Linked DNA regions of Struthio camelus. The protein of the gene in region 1 interacts with the protein of each later gene in a pairwise test. Links are inferred from orthologs where the notes say so. Each region holds a gene or a part of one and is shown in the gene's direction. Other genes may lie near its edges. The genes, in order: HPGDS and ABHD17A.

The links.
Region 2: the proteins of HPGDS (region 1) and ABHD17A interact in binary tests that used the Homo sapiens proteins (3 or more experiments, as listed by UniProt). The two-hybrid records come from large-scale screens. The link is inferred for Struthio camelus from reciprocal best matches to the Homo sapiens genes HPGDS and ABHD17A.

Annotation. Positions count from the first base shown.
Region 1 is NC_090945.1:14,953,456-14,960,693, reverse strand, and holds the start of HPGDS (hematopoietic prostaglandin D synthase), read left to right. Parts: upstream 1-4,231; 5' UTR 4,232-4,246; coding exon 4,247-4,363; intron 4,364-7,238. UniProt on the Homo sapiens protein: Bifunctional enzyme which catalyzes both the conversion of PGH2 to PGD2, a prostaglandin involved in smooth muscle contraction/relaxation and a potent inhibitor of platelet aggregation, and the conjugation of glutathione with a wide range of aryl halides and organic isothiocyanates.
Region 2 is NC_090967.1:3,071,910-3,079,415, reverse strand, and holds the start of ABHD17A (alpha/beta hydrolase domain-containing protein 17A), read left to right. Parts: upstream 1-4,264; 5' UTR 4,265-4,409; intron 4,410-6,126; exon of another isoform or gene 6,127-6,447; intron 6,448-6,957; 5' UTR 6,958-7,157; coding exon 7,158-7,471; intron 7,472-7,506. Other genes in the region: AN1-type zinc finger protein 5, read left to right, coding at 169-317. UniProt on the Homo sapiens protein: Hydrolyzes fatty acids from S-acylated cysteine residues in proteins. Has depalmitoylating activity towards NRAS. Has depalmitoylating activity towards DLG4/PSD95. May have depalmitoylating activity towards MAP6.

The DNA of each region.
Region 1 (7,238 bases):
CTACTAGGACGAATGCACGCAACGCCACTGTAAAATTTGGTTGTCCCTACACTTGCCAGTTTCTCAGAAATAGGAGCGCTAAAATAAAGAAAATAAATAGTGTGCCAGCTAACTCGGGACCAACTGTTAGAGAAAGGAAATTTTGAAGCAAATGCACTAGGAAAGAGTTAGGCATTTGGAATTAATGAGTAGTTACGGCTCTATTTAAATTCTGGATTGCAAAAACAGCTTCTGAGACAGAAGCCCACTATAGTTAGCACAAGTCCTTCAGTTTTCTTCTCTGGGCTTTGGATCCTTCATATACAAACACCTGCACCCGTGAACATTTCTACTCCTCATGAATAAAACCAAGGGACTATTTCCCAACACAGGCAACTGTGTCTAATGGTTTGCTTTTTATTGCTCTTGCTCCCCACGTAGCAGTTTGAGGAAGAATCTTTCAGTTGTTGCTTTTTACTGTTCTTAGCAAAAAGGCACCCTGCTGCCAGGAGCACACAAATAAAGTTATCACGTAAAACCCAAAATGAGCAGCCTTCCTTTAGTCGACTACTTCTCTAAGCTGCCGAGTTCTGAAAGCCTATCTCCGACTTGATTGATCATTAAATGCTGCCTTTTACTAAAGCTATAGTAAAGCTGGAATCATGTTTGACTAAGAAGGTATAATTTCTTTCAAAGGTGTTCATGACCCTTTGATATCCTTTTTACAAAAAAAAAAAAAATCCTAAGTAAAGCAATGCATATGCATGGAGAAAGCAAGCTGAAAATTTTTGAACATGCTTCTATTAACACAATGATGCTTTTAAAGTTCAATCACCTTTTTCTGACTGTTATTTTTCAAATTAGAAAAAAAAAACCCTACAAACATTCACTCAAAAGGAAAACTGTAAACATTTCAACTTTTTCAAAACTAAGCAACTGATATTTCAAGACATTTTCTTCTTTGAGCAAAACTCTTTGTAAATTTAGGTTGCAGTTGCCAAACATCAGGTCTATTTAAAAGTGAATTGCTCTGGCTGAATTTACTGTTCGCTAAAAGAATGCGAAGTGCTGAACCCTACTGCACATAAAAGGCTGAGTGGTCTTAGGACATTGCGGCATTGACAGGTTTCTAAATACAGGCCTAATATGCCTCATGATGGGGCTTACAAGCTATGTAAGGTGGTATTATTCATTTCCTAAAATCATTTTCTACAGACTCGCTTAAGAAAATTAAAAGAATATTTAGTAATAACAGCAAAACACCATAATTGGAGAAAAAAGGAAGGGGGGGGGGGCACGGAAATTGCTAAGAACACGAGCGCTATTTCCAAATTTTTAGCGAAACTTTTGGCTTGAATGGTGTTATTCTCCTGGACAGGCAAGTGGAAATGTAGAGGCATTAACTGGAAGTTACCACTCTCAGTAAGATGGTCATGTCTTGCCCATTGTAGTCTGCTCACTGTAAATGCCTGGCTGGGAATTTCCTCCAGGGAGAGGAGAGCCTGCAGCATGGTCACGGATTTACTCCCGTTTCAGCTCGGGGGGGGGAGGGGGGCGGAAGCTGGACCCTCACTGTTCCCAAAATGAGCCATCAGAAACCACTTCCGCTGCAGATGTTTCTGCCGACACGTTGATTCACCTCAACTGGGCCACTGACAGCATCAAGCAAGCTGTCTCATGGTAGAGACTTGCACCACTGGCAAAACCATGAAATGCTGTGTCTTACTTCAGTGTTATGCTTAACTATCAACATTGGGACAAAGTAGAGCAGTGACAGAGAGGAGAGGTGGGGAGGGACTGGCAGTGACTCAAAAGGCAGAAGAATGACCAGCAATACTGATGGACTCGCAGAGAAACAGATCTGTGCCACGATTTTCTGACCCAACAATAGCCCACGAATGCTCCAAAAGGGACATCTGTTGAACTAAACCTTGGACTTAGTTTCAATCCATGTGGCTTCCTCTGGATTTATCTAGGGCTTTCAAATAGAGTGGAGAGCCTCAGCACCGACCAAGAAAAAGTGTCAGCTTCAGCCAGTTGCAACTTCACTGCCAGAAACCCAGATGCTGCTCTAAGACCACGGGGCAAAGTGTTGAAAAGCCGAGCAGCAGCAGCATGTGACAACAGACTCTCCTACGAAAACGCCTCTGCTACAGTCTGATCTGAAGGTGTCTGATCCAAACGGACGTCTCTCCTCCCAGATTTGATACGTAATTCTTTTCCTAGACCACAGTCTCAATTAGCAATGTCCTCACAGCTTCTAAAGCTTTTTGGGGTTGGACACAAGCAAAAGGTACTTTAGATGAAGCGTCTCTTGCAACAAGTTGTGATAAACAGTCGCAGCTTGACTGCATAGGAGTGGGCAGTCCAGCAACTTTTTCATGCGATCAATAGCCGTTGCAGGCTGGATGGGTAAAATAAATAGAGGGCTTACTCTGTAAGAAATCATTATCAGAGGAAGCCAAGGTTAAATCGGTTCAGTGCATTATTAACTTCGTTATTCTCAACTTATGGACACAAATCACTTCTGGCTTTAGGAAGCCCAGGAATTCATTTGATCATTTGGATGAGACTTGGGCAGAATCTGGCAGAAAGCAAGAATTATTTTTGCTTCTAGAGAATAAGCCTACCACCTGATCCTGTAAAGAGCTTTACTCGGCTGAGGAGCAGGTACTCCTGAAAAACACCCTTTGTACATTTAGCTTTTTAATACGTTTGGCTTTTATAATCACACTGCGCTAGGCTGTCAGGCTTTCAGAGCAGCACCGAAGGGAGAGAATTACGCATGCCCACAGGATGCAGCCCTGAGCACGACTTCCCCTGAACGTGGACCAGCTACCGATTTGCAAACGTGAAGTTAAAGACTTGGTCCTACCACAGCTTTGCCATAGACTTTTAAGAGGCCCTGATTTCCTCCTGCATCGGCATTGAAGATTTCCCACAGGTAAAGTGAAAACGAGCTTTTTGCTACCTTATAAATCACGAGAGGAAAGATTCTGGTGCAAGGAAGCGCTTGTGCTTTATACCAGCTAAACGATGACAACTCTCACGGTGAGGTACGGGTTTAACTCATTAACTAACTTGCATTAAAAGTAAAAGCTAACTCCCCAATTCTTACTAATGCTTTACTGAGCAGCGTCATTGGCAATCCAGCCAAGATAGGAACAAACTGTTGCCAACTGAAAACAATTCCTGGAGAATACTCCGTTTTTTTTTTTTTTAAGTGATAACACCCCCCCCCCCGTTTTATACTGGAGAAAAGCAATGTTAATGCATAAATCTAGACGACAAAGTCAAGGGCTCCAAAAGCAAGGAAGTATCACCACTGAGGCGCCCCTGGGCACTTTGGCTCTTAAGTCAGGTTATACCAGTACTGATCAGACGATGCTGGCTTTTTTGTAAACTTTCTCTTGGCTGTTAAGGGTGTTGGTAGTCGAAGACTCAGCTGCTGACACCAGGGAAACGCATTTACTGCATGGAAATGAGTTGTTTTGAGGCAAATGATTAATGCTGCAAGCTACAGGAATCTGACCGCTCCTCCACGCGGGGGAGAGCGCTCGGGTCAGGCCTGCTCTCCGCACCTGCAAAGAGCACTGGCAAACATCTATTACAAAAAGTGAATGAGGCTTCAAAACGAAGTCGTGCGGTATGGCACACATGCATTCGGTCACGTACGAACAGGAAATCAAAGCACAACAATACCGAACGGACTTTGTTAAGGTCAAGGCACCAATAAGTTGCAACACCAGCAACCCCCCTTCCTCCACAAATCCATACTTTGTGCTTTACGACAAAGGTATAGATACGATACTTTATTTGTTTGCCTTTTTTTTTCCCCCGGCTCCCTTGCTTTAATGAGATCGCAGCTATTTAACGCATTGTTCCATAATTAGATCAGATACTGGAGGGCTTCATGTCATTTACAGATAATTGAAGACAGCAGTTTCTTGGCCTGCTCCTGCACACAAGTTGCCGGGGCGGGGGGGGAAGAAGGGGGGGGGGAACGGGACCAAAAAACAAACAAACAAAAACACACCCGACATCTGGCTCAGCTCCCTGGTGCCTGATCATTGAAGTGTCTACTACTTTTTTTTTGTTTTTTTTTTTGGTTAAATACAGCACTTTAAATATTTCTTGTCCTTGAGTGCAAGCTGAAAAATTCCCAGTGCCAAGTCTGGTATCGCGGTCCGAGAAAAGACACAAAGCTTGCACGTTATCTGAGGAAACGACACGTTTGCTGTGTGTGTACTCCTGAGAGTGAGTCACGATGGGGAGTGGTTTGCATATTAATAAACAGTACAGATATAAATGTAAGCCTTTCGCACTGAGCCCAGCACTGGGGCTCCTGTGCGCCGAGGAAGGGAGCGCGTTTCGCTGCACCAGAGTGAGTTCCTTTTAAGCTTTGCTGCCTACAAAGCGTCCAGCTTCTTCTCTCTTTCCCCTTTCCTGCTCTTCCCACCTTGTTCCGCCCTCCTCGGGGATACCGTTATGCTAGCTGCGCGGGGTTTGTTTGCGTCAAATGATGCGACGCTTAACGGCGAGGACCGCGCGCGTTTCGGTTCCTACGGTGCGTGTTAAGCTGACCGGGCGCAGAAGTCCCCGACTCGCGCTGCTGGCAGAGCGAGCTCCGTAGGCGCGCTGCCCGCCTAACTCGAGGTGTACCCATCGGTACACCTCCTCTGCCACTCACAGGCATCTCTGAAGTCCCCGCCGCGCGTAAGGCCCCCGCACTGCCGCAAGGAGACCTCAGAAACCACAGACTACTTTTCCAGGGGCAAAAAGGCAGACTGCTAGCCTGTCGATGCCGCAAGCCCCCGCTTCTCAACCAGTCTCCGATGCTCTCGGTATTGACCCACTCCGATAATCAGGATACCCGACAGAGAAACACGGTGCAAGGAAAAGACAACCCAAGCGGGCGTAGCAACGATGCGGGAAAGCTGCTGGCGTTCCCCAACGCACGCTTCTCAGTGAGTGAAAAACCACCTTGAAGCAGTACTCTGTTAGAAAAGCTGACTCGCATACAGTCACTTAACGCAACCAAACCAAATCTAGGTTAATGCCAGGACTTAGATGAATATTAAGCAGCGCTAACCAATTCCTGCGCATCACTTTTACATCCTACTCTAGCCCTTTTCTGAATTCTTGTTAATCTGCTGCTGACCAGAAGACAATACCCTCATCCTAATTCTCACCATTATTTTACAGAAGAAATCTTGCGGCATCTGCTTTCATTTGCTGCTTTTTCTCCCCTTTTTCAAAGGGGACAATACTTTTTTTGCTGAGGTGTTCTGGTTTTTATTTCAAAATGATCCTCTAAATCTGTTCAGTATTTTTTTCCCCCTCTTTAATTCTAACTGCCTGCATTTGCCTGTGTGCATAATCTTCTTGCACACATTTTCTCCCGTAAAAGTCATCCTTCTTTCTTTACTGCTCATTTCAAACTATTCAAACAAAGCTTAGCTGTGAAGTATTTTTCCCGGACTTGTATGCGTCTAACAACTGTGTGGGACCACTGGTACTCTTACACTCAAAAGTTGCTGCAGCTTTTGCCAAACAAGAAGATTTAGACATAGAGGTCTTTCAGAAATTTACTTCTGGTTACTCTTTTGTTTTCCTTAACCCAAAACAGAATCCACCTCCCCTAAGGATACAGGCACACCGGGAATAAGCCCCCACCACAGACGCGCGTGCACACAGACACACACTCATATCAATTTTGACAGAAATGGGACTGAAGCGCTTCAAATTCTAAACAGCAAATGCACACAAAATGGTTCTTTGAATTAGTTTAATTCTTATTACCAAAAACAAAGCCACTCATCCCGGTGATTCAGTGATTACTGCATTTACAGTATATGCTATAAAATGCAGCTCTGTCTCAATTGCATAGCAGCAGAGCTATGCATATTCAAAAACTTACATATGCTATCATGTAATTTCGAGAAAAATCTGTCTTCCAGACCTCACTCAGGGTGACGATTTAATCTATTGACAGCTGTGGAAGAGGGGATTCCCATTTTTGTCATGTCAACGCACATGCAGTTAAAGCAAGCAGCCACTGTTCCTGCCTTCCCCAAAACATACTTGCTTTGTGGCAATTACCTATGTTCGGTTTGGGGCACCTGCAAACAGGTGGTAGCCAGCTCTCTGCTGCAGAGCCACCAACAAACCTACCAGCTCTGCTGCTATATGGGTTTGACCTTTAGACTTCTAGACCTATGTTCCAGGGTCTTCAGTACTGCCACAGATAGGATCACGGCAGGAACAGTCTCACGGTATATTGTGGCAGAACGTGCCATTCCTATATGCAGTCGTCGTCTTACTTTTCTTCACAATTTTACCAGTCCATCCTTTGTTAATGTTAGGACAATGGACTTAAGACCTATTGCTACTCTTCAGGTCTTCTGCCTAAAAGCCTAGCTTGGACAGAGGGTAAGCCTTACAGCTTGTATGATCTACTCAGAAAATAGTTCACCAGGTCTTTATTATATGAAGAGTTTTCTTGGTTTTGCCATGTGCAACCTTCTACTAAGCAGTTAGAAAGCAGAAATAGTTGAAGACGGTGCACACTTTCAAAATACCTTTTACCAAAATCTCAGTGGTGAGTAATACCACTATAAAAGCCGCTGACATACTGTTGGAGTTGAGTTAGCAAACGGCATGACATTCCACTAAAAGCTACGTTTATTCACACCAGCTGAAAATTTATCATATATACTGCATAGAATATTTCAGACGGCAATATTTTCACTCTTTTACCAGGTAGTCCAAGAGGAAAAAAAAAAAACAAACCAACCAACCAAACTTGCCAAATGCCAGATAACCCATCCAACTGTAAACCAACATTATTTTAAAAAACCTCACTTATCTGGAGTCAGTCTGCTAAGACTCCCATAAAAAAACCTACTACAATGGACTGAGAAAATTAAATACTCCATTTTGCCCCTTTTCAGAGGGGACTAAATACATGCCCTTGAAGAAATGACTCTGTAAAGCACAAGCATGAAAGGGAATAGGAGAAAAGCAGTCAGCTAAATCAGACTGTGAGACTCAGCTCTGGATTTGGGTAACAGAAATGGCAAAGGGATCTTTTGATACCCGCTACATATTCTGTACCGGGAGGTACTCATGGTGGGGGGCACGTGGGAGTTACAGCCTTCCAGCCTGCCTCAGCTCCCTCCTGCCCACCAACAAGTAACACTGCCATCCTGCAAATCCAGTCTCATACTGGGCTGAGTTTGAGCAGAAGGAGAAAAGAT
Region 2 (7,506 bases), on another chromosome or scaffold:
CTCACTTTCACCCATCCCAGCCAGCAGCCCCTCTTATTAGTCTGACCTTCTCTTTCTGCTTTAGTGGGGTTTCATGGCCTAGCAGGGAACAGTCCGGGCTCTGCTGCCTTTTCATCTGGCTGGACAGTGATTAACATGGCTTTCTCTCTTTGCCGTTCCTCCCTTCAGGGTTTGACTGCCGCTGTGGGAACCTGTTCTGTGCCATTCACCGGTACTCAGACATGCACGCCTGCCCGTACGACTATAAGGCAGAAGCAGCTGAGAAAATCCGTAAGGAGAACCCCATCATCATAGCTGAGAAGATCCAAAAGTTGTGAAGGAAGCTGAGCAGCTAGAACTACAGCCACCTGGCCTGGTGCTCCTCCCCTTCCTCCCAGCCCTCCTCTTCCTCCCAACCCCATCAGTGGCATGATGGGGCCTCCAGCAGCAGACGTGAATCTACACCGAGATGTGGAGAGTTCTCGCACCTTTTTGGCAGAGATCTGGGATTCCTTCTCTCCCTTCCTGTCTGTCCTAAAGCCGCTGCTCAATTGATCCATTTTTGACCAACTTCCAAAAGGAAAAGGGATCGTCCCTGCTCCACCCACCGCCAGTGCTAAGACCTTTGGACTTGTCTTCCGCCAGGGTGGTTTGCACGGCGCGGGCAGCAGGGTTCCCCCAGGCAGCCTTTCCGTTCGACCTGCAGCTCTGAGTTCTGCAAACCTCCCAGGACTAGCCGCTAGTGTCCGTGAGCTGTCTCCATACTTTGTTCCCTCTGCTCCATTGTCTGTTCGTGGCAGATGTAGAAGCGGGAGCTGAGGAATCCCAGCGGCAAGTCTACCCTCTGCTCTGCCTGATCTCAGATGCGGGAAAGAGGATTCGGTAGTTTTAACACCCCAAATACCCCTCCCTTCCCTTCGAGAAGCTGTTGAAGCAGTTGGATCATTAAGCAGCAGAGTACTGACAGAGTAAAGTTACTTTGTGGCTTGCGGCGACACAGACACCTCCAGCCACAAGTCAGGACTGTTAAGAAAGTACCACTCTGTGCCTCTTGCCTCTCACCGCTGGGAGGGAGCCAGCCTGTGGGGCTTGCTCCTTCCAAGGACTTGGCTGGCCTGAGGGACACCCTTGCACCAGCCTTCTGTGGGCTTCAAACGCTCCTCTCTCACCCCGTACATAACTGCTGGCCCCTTCCCAAGCGAGCCTGGATGTAGCACGGCTGCAGCCCGCGCTCTGACAGCCTGTTCTTTCCACTTAACTCTACCTTCTGCCTTATATGATTCTTTCTGATCAGGGTTGTGCACAAAGCTTAGACCATCAAACCTCTAACCTTTCCTGCACGCATGCAAGTCTCGGAGACCCGTTTCCTCCCCTGTAGGCTTTGCTGATATTCAGTGGGAGTCCTCCTTTCCTATGAGTGTATTTGCTCTGAAAGCTCGCTCAACCTTCTTGCCTTCTCATCTCGCTGCTTGTCCTTGTGGGGAGAGAGGCAGGGCCGGGTCCCCAGGGGACGTGGAAGTCACCATTGCTGCAATGAACTCCAGGGCGCTCCTAAAGCCAAGCAAAGGGATCTGGGGTGCATGGAAAGGCACATGGAGGGTCCTGGGAAACACCGAAAGCCACATGAAGGGCTCGGGGGCATGCAGAGAGCCACACGGAGGTCTCTGGAGCACCCCAAAAGGCACATGGATTACTCTGGGGCACTCCAGAAGCCAAATGGAGATCCCTAGTGCATCCTGAAAGACATTTGGAGGGCTCTGGGGTGCAAGGAAAGGCACATGGAAGGCTCCAGGGCTGTCCAAAAGGAAAACAGAGGACCCTGGTACTCCCTGAAAGGCACACAGAGGCTCCTGGGGCGCACTGAAAGCCAAACAGGGGTCTCTGAGGTCCTCAGAAAGGCACCTGGAGGGTCTGGGGTTCTTTTGTCTCGTTCCCAACCCTAACTTTAGCTTCTGGTCATGGGCCGAGCCTTGGAGAAGACCCTGATCACCAGCCCAGTTGGAAGAACAGCATGGGAGAAACCGTTTTGCAGCCTCGCTCTTCTTTTAGGGGCCCTTTTGCAGCCTCACCCCAGGGGGAGCTCTGGGCTTCATGTTTCACCTAACCCTTGACATCGGCCTCGGCTGAGCCTCAGCCGCGGCCCCAGGGGAAAAAGGTCTCTGGGAGAAATCTTTTGGCAGGGTTTGGGTCTCCCCCTCCGCTGCCCCCAGAGGCTGCATCAGCCGCGGCTTTTCCTGAAGGACTTTTTTCCAGGCTCTTCTTCCCGGGCCGCTGCAAAGCTGAGAGCCAGGCCGGCGAGGCTGCGATGGCTCCGTCTCACAAGCAAAGAAATCCAGATGGGTCCCAGGAGAAAACATCAGCCTCTGCCCCGCTTTTAACCATCCCATGTGTTTTGAGCGTTTCCTTCAATATCAACTCGTATCCCAGCTGCAGAGAGCTGTTAAGCGCACCAGGCCAAACCATCAGCTGGTGGAGATCAGTGCAAAAATGCACCGTGGAGCTGGCAGGGCTGCAGCCAGGGGCTGTCTGCCTTTTCGGTGGGGGATGAAAGCCTGGGGGCTGCCCAGCACCCATGGCTTAGCAGCTCCAGAATTTGGGATCTCCTCTGCGGTGCGGTGGGGCGAACAAGCGACGTTGGCTTGGCCTGCTTGCCGTGCTGTCGGCGCATTAGCCCAGGCAAGTGGGGGCTCAGTTGGGTTTTGAGCTGGAGCAGTGGAAAACGAGCTTTGAACGCTCTCCCAGTTCACTCTTGCCTTAGGCTCTGCAGAAACCCCCCTTGATTTACATCGATGGATTTGGCTTTTTGGGAGAGTGCCCCTGAGCCCTTTCAGCACCACGGGGACAGGCTGCCCAGGCGGGGCCAGGAGAAATTGTAAGAACCCCTGTGTTACTGTTCGCACAAAGTTTGCAGACTCGGGAGGGACGGGGAAGCAGCCTGCTGCCGCACATGGAGCAGGAGAGCCCGGATGCGAAAAGGCAGCCGGCTGCTCCTCCACCACCTCCCTTTCTCTTTTATTTTTCTGAGTATGAAACCAGATCTGTAAATATTAATATATTCTAGTTTGCTTGGATGCTGTGGATGGTTCTTTATGCGCACAGCCGATTCCTGAGCTGGCGTTGGCGCTCAGAGCACAGATGAATGGGTATTTCTGCCCTCGAAATGCCCCTCTCGTCCCTCGCTGCAATCGCTCCCGGTTCCCTCTGCAAACTGCAAAGCCCCGCTCCCACCCTGTGCTGCCGGGCAAACCCAGGTGTCCCAGCTGCACCTTGCTTTGGCCAAGGCATGCTCTGTGCCTCAGTTTCCCCATGGCTAATAGGGGAGGCTTGGTGGTGAGCTGGTCTGGAGAAGGGCTTGTCCCCTGCGTCCCGCAGGGTACCCGTGCTGCAGCCCCCGGCACACAGCCTCCTCAAGCAAGGGTGACTGCTGCAGGGAAGCAACCGTGCAGCCTTGGGCACATGCCAGCCCTGCAGGGAGGAACACCGCAGCCCTGCAGCATGCAAGGGGGGAGGGGTGCAGCATGCCCTCCCTGTGAGCTGGGCGGGGGGGGGTGCATCACAGCCCCCTGACACCATGCACAGCCTGTAAGGGAGGGGGAAAGGATCCCTGGGAGCATGCAGGGCCTGCAAGGGTGGGGGGGGGGTGCATTGCAGCTCCGGAGCATGCAGGGCCTGCAAGGCAGGGACACTGCTGCCCTGGGAGCACGCAGGGCCGGCGTGCAGGGGAACAGCAGCACTGCAGCCTCGGAGCATGCAGGATCGGGAGGGAGGGTGCATTGCAGCCCCAGGAGCATGCAAGAAGGGGGCGAGGGTGCATTGCAGCCCCTGGAGCATGCAGGACAGGGCAGGGAGGGTGCTTTGCAGCCTCGGAGCGTGCAGGACGGGGTCGGGGGGAAGGTGCATTGCAGCCCTGGGAGCATGCAGGATGGGGCGGGGAGGGTGCATTGCAGCCCCGGGGAGCATGCAGGATGGGGGGGGGGAGGGTGCATTGCAGCCCCAGGAGCACGCAGGACGGGGCAGGGAGGGCGCTTTGCAGCCTCGGAGCGTGCAGGACGCGGGGAAGGTGCATTGCAGCCCCGGGAGCGTGCAGGACGGGGGCGAGGGTGCACCGCAGCCCCGCGGCGTGCCCAGCGCCGAGCGGCTGCACAGCCGCCCCCGGCCGCGCGCAGGGCCGGGAGCCGGGGCGGGGCGGGGCGCGCGGGGCGGGGCGGGGCCTGGGCGGGGGCGTCACTTCCCGCGCCGCGCGGGGCGGGGCCGGGGCGGGGCGCGCAGTAGCAGCGCCGCCGCCGCCGCCATGCAGGGCCGCCCCCGGCTCGGCGGCCCGCAGCGGCCGCCCGCCCCGCAGCGATCCCCGAGCGGGGGCCGAGCCCGGCCCGGCCGGCGCCGAGCGCAGCCCCCAGCTCGCACCGCCGCCACAGCAGCAGCATGTCCAGGTAATGGAGGGGGCCTGGGCACGCAGGTGCCGGGGGGCTGGGGGGAGCGGTGCGTGTTTGTATGGGGGGCCTGCAGCCAGGCTCTGCGTGTGGGGCTGGGTCGGTGGGGGGGGGGGCTGGGCACCCCCACCGGTGGGGTGTGTGGGGCTGGGGACGGTGTGGGGAGGGGGGCTGGACAACCCCCACCGGTGGGGCTTGTGGGGCTGGGGACAGTGTGGGGAGGGGGGCTGGACAACCCCACCGGTGGGGCTTGTGGGGCTGGGGACGGTGTGGGGAGGGGGGCTGGACAACCCCCACCGGTGGGGCTTGTGGGGCTGGGGACAGTGTGGGGAGGGGGGCTGGACAACCCCACCGGTGGGACTTGTGGGGCTGAGGACGGTGTGGGGAGGGGGGCTGGACAACCCCACCGGTGGGACTTGTGGGGCTGGGGACGGTGTGGGGAGGGGGGCTGGACAGCCCTCGTCTGTGGGGCTTATGGGGCTGGGGACTGTGGGGAGGGGGGCTGGACACCCCCATCGTCGGGGCTTATGGGGCTGGGGACAGTGTGGGGAGGGGGTCTGGACAGCCCTCGTCTGTGGGGCTTGTGGGGCTTATGGGGCTGGGGACTGTGGGGAGGGGGGCTGGACAACCCCACCGGTGGGGCTTATGGGCCTGGGGACAGTGAAGGGGGGCTGGACAACCCCACCGGTGGGGCTTATGGGCCTGGGGACAGTGGGGGGGGGGGGCTGGACACCCCCATCGGTGGGGTGCTCGTGGGCTGGGAGGTCAGTGTGGTGCTCGGGTTAGTCTGTGGAGGTTGGGGAGGCGCCTGGACCCGGACCCAGACCTGGACTCACGTTCTGGGCCTGGGGTTAGTGCGTGAGGGGGCCTGGATGCCCCCATCACTGGGATGCGTGGGGCTGGGGAGGGGGTCTTTATGGGGTGGGTTTGTGTGTGTGTGGGTCTGGCTCAGTGTGTGAGGGGGTCTGGACACCCCCATCAGTGAGGTATGTGGGGCTGGGGTCTGTATGTGTGTGTATGGACACACGCAATGGGGTGAGTGTGTATGTGGGTCTGGACGTGCAACCTGGTGTGCTGGTGGGTCTGGGGTGTGGGGTCAGTGTGGGCCTGAAGGCAGAGGACTCGGCCCCGCGGGTGGCCCGAGCGCCCGGAGGTGCGTGCCAGCCCCAGTGGTGGGGGCTTCCTGTGTGGTGTGTGTCCCCAAAATGACACCGGGGCTCGGGATTTGCCAGGTGCATGTGTGACACACGGTGTGTGTGCTCTGCAGTGCTGCCTACAGCCATGTGTTTCTGCATGCCTGTACTGACACACCATACGTGTCCCTGCAGGCAGGTGTGTGACCTGCCTCGCAGCCGTTGCCTGTTGTGGGTACTGTAGTGCCCGCGGGTGTGTGGATGCGTGCATCCCCCTGCTCCACTGGCACTTTGGGGTGAGCAGCCGGTTATGCTAGGAGGATCCCAGAGCTGGCATGTCCAGGATGCCACCCTCGTGGCTCTGGGTCACATCGGCCACCGCGGATTCTCACTGGCCTGAAGGAGACCCGAATTCACCTCCAAAGAGGGGGGACTACGGCCATGCCGGGGCACGTGTGCGTGTCCAGGGGCGGGAGGGGAATCCATTTATTCTGGAGAGAAATATTTCCATGCATGCCTTCCCCTTCTGGCTGGATGGGCAGGCCTCTCTCCCTCCACCCTTTCCTCTTCTTTCCCAGCCCTTCAGAAGCAGATGGAGTGAATTCCTGGGGGTGTGGGCTGGTTTGACATTCCTCAACAGCGAGTCTGTGCCCGAACTTGCAGAAAATAGTTGCTTTTTTTTTCCCCCCTTCCCCCTCTCTTGCTTTTTTTGGGGGTTTGCATTCTAGCTGCGAGCATGTGGGCCAGCCTCTGCCGGCGTTTGTGGGGGGACGTCGGGGTGCCGTTTCCTTTGTAGCACCGACCACCTGGGAGTGTGCGTGCCTGCGAGAAGTCCTGCGCCCGCTGTCCTCGCTTCCCTGGCGTGGGCCTGCGTGAAGATGCTGCAAATCTCTGCGGGGGTTGCGGTGTGTGATTTGGGGGGGTGTGGGCGTGCGTGCCTGTGAAGTGTTGTACAGTGCTGGGGCTTGGTTTTCTGGATGGGGAGCATGTGGGTGTGCGTGTGTGGGCTCAGCGTGAGCGTGGGCTGTGTGGTTTTCGGTGGCGGGCGCACGCTGCGGGGAGGGAGCAGTGTGTCTGTTGGGGGAAGACGTTGTGCCCCTCTGCCTGGGAGGGAGATGTGCTATGCGTGTTGTGTGTGGCATAGGGTGAGGGTTGTGTGTGTGTTTGCCAGTGGAAGAAGCAACGAACCATCCAAGTTTGAGGAGAGGAGATGTAACCTGCGTTGGGGACGGCCTGTGTTTGGGCAGGGGGTGTTTGTCCCTGCTCTCTGAGTGGGGCTGGGCTGTGCATCCCGCTTGTGGCATATGCTCTGATGTCACGCTTATCACATATGCTGTAATTGTGGTGCGTGCATGTGGTGAACTTTGGGGGGAGCCTCCCCCTCCCTCATTGTTTGTCTGACCTTCTGGTTGCAGGCCACCGCCGCTGTTGATGGACAGACGGACGGCAGCCGCCACAGTCCACAGGAGACTGCCGGCTGCCCTGTTCTGTTGGCAGCTGTGACGAGGGCAGGTGGAGGACAGAGGCTTTCCCAGGCCATCACTGGTCCCTGACTGTCTGATTTGGATCCTTGCTTGCTCCAGGCGCAGCTTGGTTTAGCGCTGAAGCCGCCGTCATGAACGGGCTGTCAGTCAGCCAGCTCTGCTGCCTCTTTTGCTGCCCGCCCTGCCCCAGTCGTATTGCGGCCAAACTGGCCTTCCTACCCCCGGAGCCCACGTACGCCATGGTCCCTGAGCCCGAGTCCGCGGGCAGCACCAGCACTGGCTCCCTGCGAGGAGGTGCTGTGGGACGCTGGAAGCTGCATTTGACGGACCGGGCGGATTTCCAGTACACCCAGCGGGAGCTGGACAACATCGAGGTGTTTGTCACCAAGAGCAGCCGAGGGAATCGCGTCGGTTGCATGTACGTCCGTTGTGTGCCAGGCGCCAGGTAAGTCATGGGTGGATGTGGCAGCCTGGCACTGC